Mytilus edulis: one gene and its partner. The protein of the gene in region 2 purifies or fractionates together with the protein of the main gene of each other region. This does not show direct contact. Links are inferred from orthologs where the notes say so. Each region holds a gene or a part of one and is shown on either strand. Other genes may lie near its edges.

What was found.
Region 1: the proteins of constitutive coactivator of PPAR-gamma-like protein 1 (region 2) and RNA-binding protein 45-like purify together in Homo sapiens (co-immunoprecipitation; 3 studies listed by BioGRID and IntAct, with this or other methods). This does not show direct contact. The link is inferred for Mytilus edulis from reciprocal best matches to the Homo sapiens genes FAM120A and RBM45.

The regions. Positions count from the first base shown.
Region 1 is NC_092345.1:93,886,863-93,896,481, reverse strand, and holds the start of RNA-binding protein 45-like, read right to left. Parts: upstream 4,740-9,619; 5' UTR 4,696-4,739; coding exon 4,506-4,695; intron 1-4,505. Other genes in the region: translation initiation factor eIF2 assembly protein-like, read left to right, coding at 9,173-9,420. UniProt on the Homo sapiens protein: RNA-binding protein with binding specificity for poly(C). May play an important role in neural development.
Region 2 is NC_092344.1:39,867,089-39,876,578, forward strand, and holds the start of constitutive coactivator of PPAR-gamma-like protein 1, read left to right. Parts: upstream 1-5,396; 5' UTR 5,397-5,599; coding exon 5,600-6,317; intron 6,318-7,002; coding exon 7,003-7,091; intron 7,092-9,078; coding exon 9,079-9,173; intron 9,174-9,490. Other genes in the region: copine-8-like, read right to left, coding at 2,439-2,479, 5,226-5,299. UniProt on the Homo sapiens protein: Component of the oxidative stress-induced survival signaling. May regulate the activation of SRC family protein kinases. May act as a scaffolding protein enabling SRC family protein kinases to phosphorylate and activate PI3-kinase.

The DNA of each region.
Region 1 (9,619 bases), on a different chromosome or scaffold from region 2:
GATATAATTCAGCAAATCATTATAACCGAGTCTTCTTATTTCTCTTATCACTCGTTTTTTGTCATTTAAACATCGTTTATAGCAAATCCGAAGCTTTTTATCGCTCCTAAATTAACCGTTTGACTTTTCGTTTCCGACCACCATTTGTATTGATGAAAAGACAACTCTGTCAATCGACGAATGACTACTCGTTTTCAAAGTGATAGATCATGATACGATCATATACGGATACCACGGATACGTTGTTGATATTGTAAACACTGGTATTAAAGAGTGTTATTAAACAAACAAGATATGTTTGTTGTTTCATTTTCCCTGGTAAACATAACAATACTTTATAAAAAAATTTAAAAAAAATCTGCTAAAAAAAAAATATTTTTGGTTCAATCAGACATATATACGTCTCTGGTTCAATTAGTCCATGCTGCATATTTTAGAAGAATAAAAAAGCAGAATATAGTTGGTCATGATTATCTTTTATAAGTAGATAAACAAAATGGATTAATTATTTATCAGGGTCAACCATTATATATAAATATACAAGTATTTTTGTAGTTGGTCTATTTTTCAAAGGTTTGGTGTTTTTTCAACTTCCTCTATTACCATGATTACAAATATGCAACAGCTTTGTTCTAGATTTTCTGATTATGTAATTTGAAAAACTTTTAATCACTGAGTATATAAAATATATTAAATTACTATTTTAATTATGATAGATACTTTAGTTATCATATATATGCATGTACATTGTAATCATGTGAAGAATAATCACTTACACAATGAATTTCTACTCTCATTACATATGTACACATATCTGTCATATGTTTCATCCTTTCTTGATAATTCAGTGCATTTTCATTTTTCCCATATCAAGTCACAAAACTTTAGATTTTGATAAAAAATTAAGCAATATTTTCCCATTTATATAATCAGTATTACAATTAACTAAGAGAATTTGATAACTAAATTATGAACTTTCAACAATAAAATTTTAACAAACAACAAGAACTAATTAAATACAGCAAACTTGACTTCTCTCTTTATTGTTCCAGTTTGAAGGCATGTGTGTGAACTTATGTCTAGTAATGGCCTTACCCTGCTTACCCCAGCACAAAATATATATTTATCAATCTTTTTTACCAGCAAACAAGAAAACTGAAGAAATTTAAGGTTGGATGAATGGTAAATAATATGTAGGCATTACAAATTTAACTATCCCAAGTAAAATGAAATATACTTTTTTGAGCCATTGCAAGGTTTTTTGATAATATCAATAATACTTAATGTATTGGTCAGCCACCCCTGTTTGAAGGGTAGTCAACAATGGTAAAGGGGTAGTTTAACCTCTTATCTTGCTAACTGGCCAACATTTATTACACATTTAACTTGACCAATATATATATTATATTAACAAGATTGAGACATTTGTTTTGTTCTTCAGAGTTTCAACTAATGAAACAACAGGTTTAATATTACAGAAAGGATCAACATTTTGTTCACGTAATCAAGTTTCATTTACTATGATGGTCAGAGAAATGAAGGTACCATAAAATATGGGTATACCTGTCCCTAATCATTGTACAAGACAATATTGAGGTGACCATTATTGGATCTGTTAACCAATACAACTTAGTAAATGGTATGCAAGACCAAGAAATGCTTTCATTTCTGATTTGTAGCTCCAAGGCATTTTGTTGTCATTTGGCCTTTGCTTTTGTAGTGAATATGAAAATAGGGAGATGAGGTATGATTGACAATAAGACCACTATCCACCAAAGTTCAAATACAGTGGATGTAAGTAATTATAGGCAACCATATGGCCTTCATCAATGAGAAAATCCCATATTGTAAAGTCAGCTATAAAAGGCCCACCAGACATGAGAAATATTAAACAATTCGACTGAGAAAACTAACTGCCTATATATATAGCTACATGTTCTTGATTACAAAACAATTTATTTAAAATGAAAATGACAGACATGAACCAACAACAACCAGTGAACTACATGCTCCTGACTTGGGACAGGCACATAAAGAGTGTGGCAGGGTTAAACGTGTTTGTGAGCACTCAACCTTTCCCCCTTATCTGGGATAGTGACATAACAGCACCTTTAAAAATAAGTGGAAAGCTTAAAGTTATCAGTTTTGTTGATTTAGAATCAGCAACTTTATATGGATAATCCTTTTCATGAATGCATTCAGAATGCATTCATGAAAAGGATTATCCATATAAAGTTGCCCTAAATCTGACACCTCCTTTTCAGTACCCATGACATGACTTAGCCAAATATTCCCACAAGGGGCAAATATATGTGTAGACTTTTTCAACACTACTAATCTCATTGTTTGTGCCACCAATTAATATTAACCTCCTGCTCCCCTTTGGCTTCCTCATTATTTGACTCATTATAGCCCACACTGTCATCTTTCCCCTGCCCACCCTGACCAATTCTTAACCTTTCCTCATTAAGTAATAAGACCTCTTTTCCGGCATTAATAACATCAGTTTCACTGAACCTGCAAATTCTACATCAGTTTCGTCTGACGACATTTTCACACTGAAATACTAGCAGACGAAGTTGCACTTCCTAAACTGCTTTCAATTTCGTGCATTGTTCTCCCGTACATTCACAGCCCTACCCGCTTATTTCACCCGATACTCAATCAAAGTGTATGTGTCACCCGAGTACCAGCTTTTCAAAGCCATATCTCTGTTCCCTCGAAATCGAGAATTGTTTTTGCAGCAAAGCCATGAACGCGAAAAAAACTTACTTGTCTAGTTCCGATTTGTGGGGGGAATAAAAAGATCGCTATCATATTTATTTAAGATATATTGAACCATTTATTTTTATTGTATAGTTAAAACTACCTAAGAATAATAAAGGGCTTCATCAAAACACAGAAAACAGTTGTACTTCCACTCCTCGTTATCGAGAGAAGCCATTTTGAAACCCCACATGACCTCAAAACGTGTTTCCGGTTCTAATTTTATAAAATAAAATTTTCCGATTTGATTTATTTACCTTTCACAATGTTTTTAATGCTGTTGAAGAACTGAAATAATACCCTCAGATATCGTAGATTAAAATTGAAACATTGATTTCAACTGTTAAGAACGGCAAATAGTGTAAAATTGCGGCTTTTATTGGGACAATATTTATGTATCCTGAAGGATACACTCGCCCTGCGCATCGTGTATCCTCAAGGATACATCCGCCCTGCGCATTGTGTATCCTCAAGGATACACTCGCCGCGAAAGGGTTAAAGGAATCAATATGCTACAGCAACAGGGCTAAGCTCATTTGCATATAATTTGCATATTTTTGCAAAGAAACGAAAATTAGACATTTTCTGAAAACAATTCAGCATGGTAAGGGTTAATATAAAGGATTGCCTACTTTAAGTACATTTCAATTGGAATGTCCTTTCCACTTTAAACTTGACATGACTAAAGATGGACTAAACCTTTTTGCGAGGGAAGCAAAATGTTTATTTGATCATCTTCTGTTTTGCATTTCACTAAAAGATTATTTTTTTAAATCTCATATGGGTATTTTTCAAATTCATTAAAATTTAGTTTTTTAAATTTGCATTTACATTTTTTAATAGTATTCATTTTTATCATGTTTTTCTTTTTTTATAGGGACTGTACAGTTTCATTTTCCACCAGTCAGCATTTAATTTGCATAATTTTATTTTTTAAACAATATAAAAAGGGAGGGAGGGTGGGAAATTTTTCGATCTGAAATTGATACACTGAAGAAATCTAATGTAATGACTAGGGAAAGGAATTCCTTTAAAACTAAAAGGTGTATTGAACATAAATCAAAATCAGTTAAGCGTGAATACATATATCAAACGATCGGCCACAGGGAGTAATTAGAACATATTTTGCATCGTAATTACTAGTTTTTTAGAAAAAAGAAATCGAAATCCCCATATTATCAATATTTTCAGTTTGTATTTCATGTTTCATTTCCGATCTGATGGCATTTTTTTTTAAACGGATGTGGGTACGTGTAGCCTACGAATGGCAATTTGAGTATTATCCGCATGTGGGTAAACGCAGACACTGCCTTTAAAGAATGAGTAACACTAGTCACATTTTTGTAACTAAGGTCAATCAGCGTAAACAATGTCATTGAAAATTCAGTTCTGACATGAACATGTCTCAGCATTGTGGCATCAGAAATTTACAGGAATTCAAATTAGTCTATTTGGAAAAAAATGTCATGTACATGTGGATGCAATTTTTGGTATTGACTGAGGTATCTGTATCCAATGAATTTCTGCCAATATAGGCACACCTCCGTATATGGAGTAAAACAATAAAAGTATCAATAATGTTTATAGACAGTATTACCGAATAAGACTGAATATTCAATTTAGAGAAACCTAATCATGACTTTTTGATAATGGTCAGGTGGAACATCATTTAAAGCATTGATCAGTTTACTAAAATGTCAAACTTATCGTCAAAAAGAAATAAATTTTATAAAAATAACCTTTGTTTTCGTTTGAACGTTTATCTTTCACAACCCAGATATCTTCGATTCCTCCATATCGCTCGAATTCCTTCTGGAACATTTCTTCCGTTGCTTGTTTACTGCATAAAATAAAGAGTCTACTATTGGCAGGGCGAACATCTTCTTGGAGATCTCTATGTCTTTTATCGTAGGGCTGGTAATTCGCCATTTCCACGCTGTTGACCGTTGGAATAGAGTTACTTCCCCTGTAAAAACAAAACTAATAAACTCGCCCTGTACAGATCGACCCAAAAGACATCCACAATAAAAAAAAATATCTCCCAGTCGGGTAGTTGTTTATAAATGAAACTAAATTTATACTTTTGTCCTTATTAGATACAAAAAAAAAAAGCTGAGATAATCCAACAAGGATACCACAAGGATCAATATTGGGTTTGCTGACTGTTATTTGAACTGTACATAAACAATCTTCCAGACGGCTGATATATGATATATAATATAGCTAATGGATTTTGATGCTTATGTATTTTCCGATGACACCAATATCTGTAGGGTAATGAAGAATCAGAATGCCAGAGACATTCTACCGTCGAAGAAGACCTTTACAAGATGGAAACATGGAGCGACAAATAGCTACACCATGAAAAATGTAAATACATAAAAATATGTAAGAAATCAACTTGAATAGCACTGACAACTCAAATAATTACAGTCTACTTAATCATACAATAGAAAAGTTTTACAGAGGAAAAAAATCATATAGGAGTCCTTATTGACTCAGAACTCACCAGTGAAAATCACATCATGAAGGACATGAAGCGAAAAATAAAATAAAGCCAACTGATTAGTTTAAACATATTTTATTTGTTAAAGTACAAATTGGATAAGACACAAGTCAAACAGACTTATGAAGTTTTCTCCATTTAACATTTATAGCAATATAATACAAAAATATATGTCATGATAGAATGGTATATCTATTTAGTAAATATATATATAAATATGGATCAAAAGACGGAAAATTGAAGAAAAAGAAAACAATAATAATACAGAAAAAAAAATCAAAAATAAAAATATATAAATAAATAAATCATTATTTAGAAAACAGAAACACAAAAAAAAAAAAAAAAATATAACAACAAAAAAACAAATAGTAATAAAAAAAAAAAACAAAAAAAAAAAAAACGAAAAAATAAAAAGGACAAAAAAGGGGAGAAGAAATTGATATACGCAGTTTTCAAAAGAACTTAAATTATTGGGTACTGAGACATTCGTGCTTTTGTATAAAAAATATCAGAACCCATTTGTACTATGCTAGTCCAGTCTGGTCTTCATACAAGAAAAAAGGTTTTAACAAAATAGAAGGAGTCCAAAGAAGGGTAACAAAACAACTACCAGGACTCAAAGATATGAGCTATCACAGAGACTTTTAAAAAGGCTTACCTACACTATCATATAGAAAAATACGAGGGGATATGTTTGAAACCTTCAAAACCTATCAATGGGTACTATGATAAGGAAGTAAGCTCATTTTAAACATGGAAGCTGATTCACAACGTTAACATAGACTGACGGCAGTAGAAGGACAATTAGCAACAAAGTCATCCATTAAAGATTTCAATCTAAAATCCACAAACACTCCTTATCTGTTAGAATTGCTAACCTGGAACAAACAATCAAATAAATAAAATCACTAAAGCCCCATCCATAAATGCCTTTAACTATTATTATATAATGACTATAGATCAGAAATACCAGGGAGTCACGGAAAAAAACCCAGTATACTATAAACAATTTAAATTATGAGTCTGATGAAGAGTGTAGTAATAGACCATCTACATACATTTTCAAAATAATGAATATATATTCCCTCTATATAGATCCTAATCAGGTATATGGGTTTCTATTACTATTACGGAGGAATCAACTGCATTTAAACAATCTAAACGGAGAAGATGATAAGGAAATCACACACAGGCACTTGTCTCAGAAAAAAAATTTCCTATGTGTTATATTAAGGTATATAGGAAATTTTTTTTCTGAGACAAGTGCCTGTGAAATCACATCCCAAAGAAGAACTGATAACTAATACCATGGCAAAAATGAAACTACAAAAAGTTTACAAACATAGCATCCAAACAAACTTAGCAACACGAACCACACCATAAAACGGAGATTTACAAATGAAAACGGTGTTATTAGGGACTTTGTTTGCGGGGTCATCAACTTACTTGTCTTGGAGGTATAGGATTAAAGCTAGGTGTTTGGGTACATTTGGATTTTTAATACTAGATAGATCTAGCATGAAAGACTCGTTAAGACTTTTGATGTGTATCACAGTACTTAATTAACCTATTCGGACAGATTATATTAATATAAGGATAATTTGTTTTGACTTAATTACTCAGCAGTGGGACCACTGAGGACCAATAGCAGTGGACCGCTGAATGTTGACCCTTCTGCACGAGACAGCACGGACGGCGTTAAGGTTCATGTGGACCCTATGGCTAAAATGGCCGTATTTTCACCTCAAAATTTTCTCTGAGTACAGGCAAACCTGTGCATCTGGAAAAGTTTTAAGGCATGGCATGCCCTAGATAAATAGAATTCAAATGCATTGTATGATTTAGAAAATTCATAACTTAACTGGATTTTGCCGTACACTTTTTTTCATCTCTGCAGAAGATGATAAAATTAACAAACAGTTGAGTTTACCTTGATATGGTCCACTCAGGTACACAGTTTAAATAACCAATTATTGTCAGGTATCTATTGTCCATCTAATGTCCATGTCAACTAAAAATGCTCACTTTAAGTTTTACCTGTGGGGAAGTTCTCAAACCTGTTTCCCAACTTAGTTTATTTTGGCACCTTCTGGAGGAATGAAAAAAAGTGCACCGCAAAATCCTGGTAAGTTTTTATTTTTTTAAAACATAAAACATATTTAAAATTCATTTATTTAGGGCATGTCATGCCTTAAAACTTTTCCAGATGCACAGGTTTGCCTGTACTCAGAGAAAATTTTGAGGTGAAAATACGGCCATTTTAGCCATAGGGTCCACATGAACCTTAACTATGTTATTTCCTTTGTGTCTGATAACAAAATTTTGAAGGGTCGATCGAAACTATATCGCTTTCCATTTTTAGTTTATGACTTTGTATCCCGTTTCCTACAACCTCTTTTAATTTAACTCCATGTGTTGCTTATATATATTATATTTGGAATAAGTTCGCTTTTTGATAGACCTATATCTTAATTTTTCCTGCGAATATAATACTAAATCTAATAGTCCCAGTTTTTTCTCATCTTTATTTTGCCGTTCGGTCCAGTGAAAACTTTAACCTCATGTCCTCATTTAAACCTTCATTGACAAAACGACTAACGAATGTCCAGAGATATTGACCTTCCAATGGTAAATCTAAACGAGTTGTATATATTAGATAACGGAAGATATATATCGAAATGACATGAAAACGAAGGAAAACATTCACTATTGATTAGAATTTTATTACCGATCTGGAATTATTTAAAGTATCACTATTGTTTTGACAACTACGCGCGATCGGCCATGACTGTTGTAGCTCGGAACTAAAATTTTCGCTTGTCGTATGACATTTGTGATTTCTATTGAAGGCTCCAGCACAGCAGATACATTTTTTAAGACTACTTATAGTATTAAAATACGATCTTAATTTAACATTGTTTCAACGATTTAAATCCCAGAGAGGAATACGTACCAAAAGAAAAAGAAAATACAGGTATGCATAAATATATTTGTTACTAAAAATATCGTTCACGTTATCCGGTTTATATTTAAAGTATACTGACGGACTCTAAAAAAGCAATACTTATAGATTCTTTATAAACATGAGTTTCAGTTTCGATGTCTAAATAAAGTTTGTGTTGTAAAGTTGCATTGATTTCCTCACGACCAGGACGATCCTTGATTGTAAGAACCGAAACAGCCGATTTTCTCCTTATTATTGGATTTGTCAATGGCTGTTTGTAATCGGGGCAACGTCTTCACGATTGATTGCCATAGAAAAGTCAGCCAGTTCTTCTGGGCATGTTTTGAGTTCAGTTTTTCTGCATCTGTGCTTCCGTTCCTCCGTTCACTAGTCAGACCGTCCGTTTGTCCAGCTTCAGTTTAAAGGTTTTGGTCAATGTAGTTTTTAATGAAGTTGAAGTTCAATCAACTCGAAATGTAGTACACATGTTCCTAATGGTATGATATTTCTAGTTTCAATGCCAAATTAGAGTATAAACCCCCAATTTCACGGTCCACTGAACATATAAATGCATCTGTCCCACTTCAGGTTAAAGTTTTTTGGTTGAGGTATTTTTTGATGAAGTTGAAGCCCAATCAACTTGAAACTTAGTATATATGTTCTCTACATGATATGTTTTTATTGCAAATCAGAGTTTGACCAAACTTCAATCAAGTAATTCTGAAAGGATTTCAATTTAACAATTTTGTAAAATCATTGAATATATCTATATATGCAAAGAAGGCCAAAAAGGGGTGGGATGAATAAAATAATGATATCTCCAAAAATATTCTAAGAACCTCGTCATCCCTGAATTTCAAATGTTCGTCCACGTATTTGTTATGTACAATAAGTTCATGAAGCAACACTGACTGGATGTGATCGGTATGATTTAATTTGTAGATTAGCATTGGAATATGGCAGCAAACTTGGCAGATCAACTGAAGCATGTTAAACTGAAGAAAACAAGAGAACCAATCCGTGATTATTCAGGTTTGAAAACTGGCGGATATTTAACGGAGGACGAGATAAAAGACTATGACGACAATGTACTGGCTGCAAATACAGAACACTGGGTAGATATTCTACGAGACGTCACATTTCCAACAGTTACTACTCCCTTTCATTTAGAAGATGCCAAGCTGTTTATAGATGTATACACAAGGTATCAAAATTATGATAACTAGACATGGAGTAGCCATCCAGATTGTCATACATTGTTTTTAATTTCCAAAAAAATCGTAGAATTTTTTGGATGAGCGTTCCAATTTGATTAAAATCAAGATCTTCGTAATTCGCCTACTCATCGAAAAACTAAACATAGCGACCTGAGTTATACCGAAGATCTGTATTTTAATAAGATC
Region 2 (9,490 bases):
TGGAGGTTACTACTTCCCGGCGCGTCGGCAACAATAGGAAGATTATGATCGCCGCTGTGGATAATAAAATTGTCAAAAACTGTTCCTTTGTTAATTATTTGGTGACTATATAATTTTTGGATCGTCTGCAGTAGTTGGTCTGTATAATGGCATAGTTGTGAATTCCTAGTTCATTTAAGATCGGCGCCCGTGGTACGTTTCTTCTGCAATCATTTATATCTGCTATCATTTATAGATGTATGGGTGGTATCGGACATCTTGGTCATCTTGATTCAGTTGTTATTTCGTTGTAAGTATGGAATATTCCTTGGTCCATGTATATGCTGGTGGCCTGTAGATCGGCGCTGTTAGCTTGGCGGTTCCTTTCGGATGCAGGGGTTCACGATTAAATAATAAATTAAATTCCGCGAGGTGAACCAACGCCTGTGAAATCGTTTTGGTAGAGTCCCTGAAGTGGATACCTTGGTATGCCGGGTTGTCAAATCATGCAAATGAATGCAATCCTTAAATAATAATTAAAATTGACAACAACACTTCATGCAAATGAATGCAATCCTTAAATAATAATTAAAATTGACAACAACACTTCAAAAGATCTGCAATTTTATTATCTATGTCTACATGTTTCGCCTGCAAGGCAGGCTTCATCAGGACAAAAATTATATAGTCACCAAATAATTAACAAAGGAACAGTTTTTGACAATTTTATTATCCACAGCGGCGATCATAATCTTCCTATTGTTGCCGACGCGCCGGGAAGTAGTAACCTCCAACTATGGCCAGGTTGGAAGAGAAGCCTTGCGAAGTGGTAGGAACCATGGGAAGTTCGTCCTATTAGATGCCAAGCCTTTAGAACAATTTTATGTATCATATAATAGTAAAACGAACTCAAGTTACATTGTATACAAACTTTAATTTTCTATATTTATCTTATCTATTTATAACTCTGTATTGCTACTTTCACTTTTCATTGTTTCTCTCACCATGACGACGTCAAATTTAATGCACCACTTTGAGTACTTCAGGGGCTCAATTTCTGTATAAAAATTGTCCTGATGAAGCCTGCCTTGCAGGCGAAACATGTAGACATAGATAATAAAATTGCAGATCTTTTGAAGTGTTGTTGTCAATTTTAATTATTATAATTGAAATACTTATATACAACTTATTGTCCTGACACTAGATAAATGCGTTTTGGGCCCCTTTGGGCCCCTAACTTCTAAACCTTAAGGACCATAACCCCTAAAAACAATCCCAAACTTCCATTTGTGGTTATAAACATTGTGTTAAAATTTTATTGATTTCTATTTACTTATACTTATATCCGTCTTTGAATAATGCTGATGACGTGATTTATAGAATAGCTAATCCAAGAATTCAAATATCGAAAAATATTCAACGAGTGACCGAACATCACATTAATTCATGAATGCGTGTAGCGCATGAGTTAATTATCAGTGTTGTTCGGTCACAAGTTGAATATTTTTCGATATTTGAATTCTTCAATTACTTATTCTTTTTATTACATTGGCAAAGGTTTTTTTTAAAGGAATTAATGTAAAACATGTAAGGAACTATATCTTTTTTCTACGCATTCACAATTTGTTTTGATCCGCCGCTATCGACATCTTGACAACGCCTATTGTTGTATGACGTCAGAGAGTGAAATAACCACGTTAATTTCACATGTGAAATTATCGGTTTTTATTTAAATGGGAAATCAAGGTAATTTATTGCAACCAATGCAATCGCAAACATTGTTGTGGTCGTATCAAAAAATAGTTTTAATAATTATAAGATTGATATTTTTTTAATAGATATTAGATTCCTTTTTTTCCATTTGTAAAGGATCATAACTCTAGAACGTTTGAATTGACACCACTAAAATTCAAACTTAATTTGTATTTTGAGGAAATAAGCAAATGTGTATAAGCTTAATAACATTTGGTTGAGGCAAACTTAAGTTATAGAACCGAAACTAAAATAATTGTAATTTTTCCATTTATAAAGGGGCATACCTCAACAACGGTTCTAGTAATTTTACAAAATTTCAAACTTGATCTGTATATAATTAGTGATACTTAGCATTGTGTATAAATTTCATAACATTTGGTTGATGCACACCAAAGTTAGAGAACGGAAACTAAAAATTTCGCAATTTTCCATTTATAAAGCAGCATAACTCTAGAACTGTTAAAGTGGCACCACCAAATTTCAAACTTGATAAGTGTTTTATGGTAATAAGCATTGTGTATAAGTTTCATAACATTTGGTTGATGCAAACTCAAGTAAGAGAACAGAAACCAATTTCAGGATGTACGGACGAACGTATGTACATACAGACCGACAAGGGTAAAACTTAATGCATGGGGTTGATCTCCAGTGCTACAATACATATCTCAATACAATGCTGCTTCTTCTGGAACATTTATACTTACTTGGATCTGATTTTGAAAATACATCTGAATCTATGAGGTGTCTGAAATGATACAAATGTTAAAAATCAAATCTATAAGAAATTGTAACATGTAATCTTTCAGATCCTAGTTAGAAAAATAAATAAAAATAGTCTTCTCTCTTTTAGTAAGGTTTCAACTTTTAAGATTTGTTTCTGTGTACAGTTGACTCTATAATTTGTCTGATCTGACTGACTTTGAGATAACGAGAGTAGACTGTATTTACAATTTTTTTCTGAAACATTTTAAAATTTATTTTTAACTTTTGGTCTTAAATTGCCTTATAAAATGAAAGTTATTTCAGAAACACGACAAACACTTGTAAAATAAAGGATTGGGAAAGACCGAGTTGACAGTGCTAAAAAACATTTGGTAAAAATTTAAAAGTTATTTTCTCCCCAGATTCAATGTCCAAAAATATTCAAGGAAAACTTTTATAAGAATTGATGGCAGAATAACTGGTACTCTATTAGTAATAAAACAAGAAGGCTTCAAAAGTTCACCTGCTTAAGAATTTTCAAACTTCATACCGTACACCTAATAATTATACAGTGACTCTATTGCTTATAGTATCTGATGAACATACCTTATTGTGGAAATTAAACTTAACATTCCCCAAGGCCAATGAACCATAAAAATAAGGTCACAGTCAAGGTCAGATGGACTCACCAATACATTGTAAATTCATTTTCAGCAGAAAACAATAAGGGAGCAACCATTTAGTTTAAAGGGCATGAAGGGGGAGGTATTGTTTTGTGTTTGAGTCAGTATTTCTCACCTGCAAAGCGCTTCAACGCTATAAGTCAAAATTATTTAGTAAAAATAAAACACTGAAAGGTATGGGGAAAACCTGGATTCAGAATTTATTTTTTTTGTCCTCTGGAATAGAATTTTCTTTTCCTTCAATTTGGAAATAAGACTATTTAAGAAAAATACTAGTCAAACTAATAATGACATCTAGGAAGGCTTTTTTAATTTTTTGCTTTGATGCCTTCCTTAGCAAGTCAAAGAAATATATAATAGCCTAACAAGACGTCATAATTATTTTTACTAGAAAAATACCAGTATGACAACAATCAGTGGCAGATCATCAAGAACTTTTTGGAAGGGGTGTCGGCTGACTGACCTTAAAAAAGGGGGGGGGGGGGGGGGGGGGGGGGGGGGGGGGGCTACTCCGATCACTCTTCAGTGATTCCCAATATTAGCAACCAAATTTTTCCAACGAAAAAGGTGGGGGCAGCCCCCTGGATCCGCCTATGATAATCAATTAATAAAGTTTGAATTGTTTTACATTGTCAATTCCGGGGCTTTTATAGCTGACTATGAGGGCAGAGGTATGGGCTTTGCTCATGGTTGAAGGCCGTACAGTGACCTGTAGTTGTTACAACAGAAAAAACACTGAATCCATCAAAATTTTCTCAGACAGCCAATCAGCAATTGGAATTTTAACTTTAAATTGGAAATCAGATAATTATGGCAAAACTATTCATGATATTAAAATCGGTATATTGGCACTAAAATCTGAAGGAATCATTGTTTCCATTGAATGGACCCCTGGACACGCTGACATACAAGGTAATGAACTAGCAGACCAACTAGCTAAAAAAGCAGCACTGGAAGCAGAAAAAATACAAAGCATTCCAATATTTACAAAACAAGATATACAAAAAGGAGCAAAAGACAGTGTTATGTTAAAATGGCAAAACCGATGGGAGACCAGTGATAAAGGAAGAAGATATTATGCCTTGCAACAAAATGTGAAAAATACACTTCCAAAAGACAAACCGTCAACTGAAATATATTGAATAACTACTAGTTTAAGAACAGGATATTGCAATTTAAACTCATACAAATCAATGATATGCCCAGCACTCATCGACAAATGCAGCTGTGGACAAGTAGAAACAGTTGACCATTATCTACTGGATTGTGAAAATTATGAGGAGGCTATAGAGAAAAACTTCGCTCTGCACTCTACTTCATAACATCAAAACTAACACTTAAATCAGAAGTATTATTAGCAACAACAGAAAATGATAATTACAAACATCACATAGAAGATATTCAACATTTGTTAGGGGTCTTTATTAAAGATACTCGAAGGTTCACAAAATAGATAGTTCAGGTTTTATAAGGGTTAACTATTTATTCATTTTTTTGTTAATTATTTATTTATTTATTTATTTATTTTTCTCTGCATCGCCACATAATAGATACACATGTGCTAATGAGTTTTATACAATAGCGACATAAAATTACCAAGGTAATCGAAATTACAGTCTACAGAGAGATTATAGTGTCAAGTTGACACTTCTAAAGACTAAAGATTTCTGCATCATTTTGGTCTCTTGTGGAGAGTTTATCACACCACATTTTCTTATTTTTTTTTGGTATAAAGCTGGCATTTAAGGTATCGCCTTCCTCATATTAGAAAAAAAAGAATGTTGATCAGTGACCCATGAAAATGAGGTCAAGGTCAGTTGAAACCTGCCAATCGGACATGTAAACCTTGTATAAATCATATTTTTGTAATTATTGTCATTGCACCATGTAAATTTCATTGGTCGCCTTTAAAAAATAGAATTTTACTTTCACTTAAACTTTTTACGCATTTTTAATCAATTTGTTTATGTCAAATCAGAGATGTTGATTTCGAAATGTTTACTTTGACATGTTGATGCACAAATTAATAGTAAATAAAAAGATGCATCTTCTGTGCCTTGAAACAGATTTTTAACATTTGAGTGTATTGATGCTGTTAATCCTTACCGACAAGAAATCGACAACTCGACTAAGGTAGCAGGAGCTACACCTGTTCCTGGTTGAAACGTATTCTCTGCCATATTATTTTTGTTTACAAAATTTCTCTTTTAAAATTCTCTAGACTTTACTGCAAGAGGATAGGACAAGTCAACTTATACCGAACGATTTCGAAATGCAACATGGGAAATCCATCCGGGCCTTGCGTCATCAACACGCATGTCAAAGGGTGTCAGAGCCGCTAGGAAGAAGCACATGGCCGCTGAATGAGGTCAAATTCCTTTCATTTTCTTCAATTTTAGTGCTCTGTTTACGGAATTTTATCTTTTGGCATATAAAAACTAATGAAGTAATCATTTAACTTTGGAAATAAGGTAGCAACTATGGGAATTAAATCTCTGCAAGATTATATTGAGACGCACTGCTCTAGTGCCTGTGTGTCAGTTGATTTGCTGAAAATATCTAGGGGTTTTGTACCAAAAAGGCGTGGCAGGTATCCAGGTTCATCCAGATTCTGCCTTGTTGTAGATGCAGAGAGCTGTCTAGATCGACTCTATGGCGGCTACTTTTCAGACTGGGTATGTGGGGGTCAATGGAATAGGATGACATCTTATTTAAACAGCCTAATCCAGGCTTGTCAAGCAGCTAACATGGAACTGGTTGTATTCTTCAATGGGTCTTTGGAGAGTCAAAAAATGAATGATTGGTTTGCAAGTCAGAGTATGGAGAAGAAGAAGGTACAGTCCATCTTGCGACATGTCAACAACAAAGGAACACCACCTCCCAAAATTTGGTGGATCCCACCAGTGTTCCTCCATGGTGCACTTAGAATGGCATTGCGACAGCTAGGTGTTACTGTTGCATGCTCTATGGATGACCATGAGCAAGAGGTTATTGGTTATTGCAGGGAACATGGGCTTCAAGGAATTCTTGCACAAGATGCAGTATACACAATATTTGATCCACCACGTTATTTTTCATCCCACAACCTGAAACTGACCTATAAAGGTTCTTTAGAAACCAAAGAATACATCATGGATGAGATTGCAAAAAATCTTAACCTGAACCCAAACAGATTCTGCATTTTTGCAGCACTATTGGGTAAGTTCAGCAGTATGAACAGTAACATAATGTTATTTAGAAACGCAAGAAATCTATTTATAAATGAACAGAAGTAACCGATTGAAATAGAATTGACTAATCAAACGCACCTTTCTCCTGACATGCCTGAAATCATGTTTTTTATGTAACTTTAAAACTTGTTTCACAATATTTTGATTGGTTCCATACTCTTACTATTGACAGTTGAAAATAAGGGTGTATGTACCCTAGCTACATGTACTAGAATTTCAGGGTTCAACTACTAGCGAACTAGCTAGCCAAATATATTACCTTTACTGCGAATAGTACATACATGTAGTATATATACATGTTACATCTAACCATTAAAAAAGAATGATTGGCATGCTAGTGTTTTGAATCTTTAAACAAAAGATGATCCACTCTGCACTGTGCAGTTGAAGGAGGATTAGTTGCCATGCCGTTTATTCTGGTTTAATTAGAAATTCATGCATGTATATAGTGATGGTCATAATAGAACTGCTTTGGTTGATATGAAATTAAAATTCCTGAACACCTGAAGCATGAACTACTGCAGATTATTAAGGGCGAATTTACATTTATGAATGTATAGAAAAAATCTGGTTGATGTTTAATCAATTAAATTCATTTATTCTGTAAAAATTGTTTCACATCATTTTTTAACCTCGTGTTCCATTTTTTCCAGGAAATCACATCCTACCAGATGCAGACTTGTATGACTTCTACAGAAATTTACTGAACACCACACAGCCAGATGGTGGACAACCTATTAAGGTGAATTCATACTATAAATTAGTCCAAAACACCGTTTGGTGTCCACCTATTACATGTATTGCATTTATTTAGAGGATGGTATGAGGGTCACAAGGCTGTCTTTTCTAGTTGCCGCTTACACATAAAAAACACCTGAATCTGCATTCTTTTTCACCTACTGATAACTGAGGGGTCTAATAATGTGCAGGTGATAATAAAGAACAATAACCAAAAGAATCAAATTTATGGACATTTATCATTTGACCGGTGTACACTAAATTAAAGAAACGACAATGCAACCTTGTGTCGATCAAACTGGCGTCTCGGTTGAAATTCTGGTTGGTTGTTTTGAATAATGTTGTCTTTTGCCTGAAATATTGTTATTATGCATATTTACACATTGTCAACAAAAAATAAGGTTGTCGGTTCAATTTAAAATTTTACCAAATTTATTATTCACTCAGCAATGAGTGCACATAACTGTATTCATTAAAAATTATTATTGGAAAAGATTAAAGGCATCTGACAATTAAAATCACTGTGTAATTCACATACAAAGAGTTAAATTTTATGGACATTTTAGTTGGTAAAAACCTTAGTTTAGTGGTGTCATCAGGGTTTTACTTGTTTTGACTATTGCACTAGTGCATTTAGTGATGACCACAGGCTATTACTCTTGATAGAAAATATATTTTAATCATTTTATTAACCGGATTTTTGTGACAAAAATGTTGGTTATTGATTTGGGGATGTACGGCGAGCGGCAATCAAATGTTGTCCGTGCATTAACTCATGAACCGTTCAACCAAAGCTTTTCAAATTTTAATGTGTTGTTACTGACAACTAAATGAAGGTCAAGTTCAATACTGGTGATTTTTACTCTTACCGTTCAGGAGTTATGGTTCTTGAAAGATTGAAAAATGGAGTTTCCAGTCGTGTCCGTGCATAAACGCATGAACTGTTCTACCAAAGCTTCCCAAATTTTGATCTGTTGTTACTTATGACAAAATAGAGGTCAAGTTCAATAATGACGATTTTGACTTTTACGGTTCAGGAGTTATGGTTCTTGAAAGATTGCAAAATGGCGTTTCCATTCACGTTGTTGCATTTTCTCATGAACCATTCAATATAAGCTTTTCAAATTTTAATATGTTGATACTGATGACAAAATGGAGGTCAAATTTGATATTGACGATTTTCACTTTCAATATTCATCAGTAATGGTTCTTGTGATATTGCCAGGACACAAATAAATATTAATAAATCTGGTTTGCTGTCGTTGTGACAGCCTCTTGTTTTTTATTGAATTTGTATCCAGATTTTAATTGGGACATCAGTTTGTGTCTGTGCAATAACTTGTGAACTGTTAAACAAATCTGTTTCAAGTTGAAATTTATTATTACTGATGACAGAATGAGGTCAAGGTAGATATTGAAGATTTTCAGTTTTGCTGTACAGGAGTTCTGTTTATTTATTGATTAGAAAATTGGAATTTTATATTGTTTCTGTGGCATAAGTTAACAGCTGGTTTACAAATGCTTTTCAAATGAACTGAAATATATTGTCAATTTAATATGGGAATATTGGGGTCACATTTGATTGATGATTATAACTATTGCTCTTTAGAAGTCGCAACTCAAGATTGCTGTTAAAATTACTCACAAATTGAAATGAAATGAAAATTGTTTGTCATTGTGACAGCCTTTTTTGTTTAAAAAAATCAAGTGAAAGTTTTAGTTCTTGCCTTTACATTGTAAAAAGTGTAATACATGCTCTAGTGAGCTTTTAAAATCGACATTGATTTTTGTCATAGAATTAAGATAACACATATATTATATTCTAGAACTGTATTGCAAAAGGTTTAAAATTTATTAATATTTTTCGGAAGTTTTAATATTATTTTATAACTCCCACCCTCAAAATTTAATCTGTGGTGACCCCTGAGCCATCATATTTATTAACTCTGTGAGTTTTAGGAAGATACATTATTCAAACTTTTGTCTTGCAGTTTACTCCAGAGAATTGTATTGAAGCAGCTGTAAAATTTGTTCGTAACTTAGCCTCAGTAGATAATCTGGATACTGTTGGAGAACAGATTTTCAGGTAATTAATTGACTTATCTGTTATAATGATTTCTACTTATTTTTATACGACCGCAAAATTTGAAAAATTTTTCGTCGTATATTGCTATCACGTTGGCGTCGGCGACGTCGTCGTCGTCGTCGTCGTCGTCGTCCGAATACTTTTAGTTTTCGCACTCTAACTTTAGTAAAAGTGAATGGAAATCTATGAAATTTTAACACAAGGTTTATGACCACAAAAGGAAGGTTGGTATTGATTTTGGGAGTTTTGGTCCCAACATTTTAGGAATTAGGGGCCAAAAAGGGCCCAAATAAGCATTTTCTTGGTTTTCGCACTAT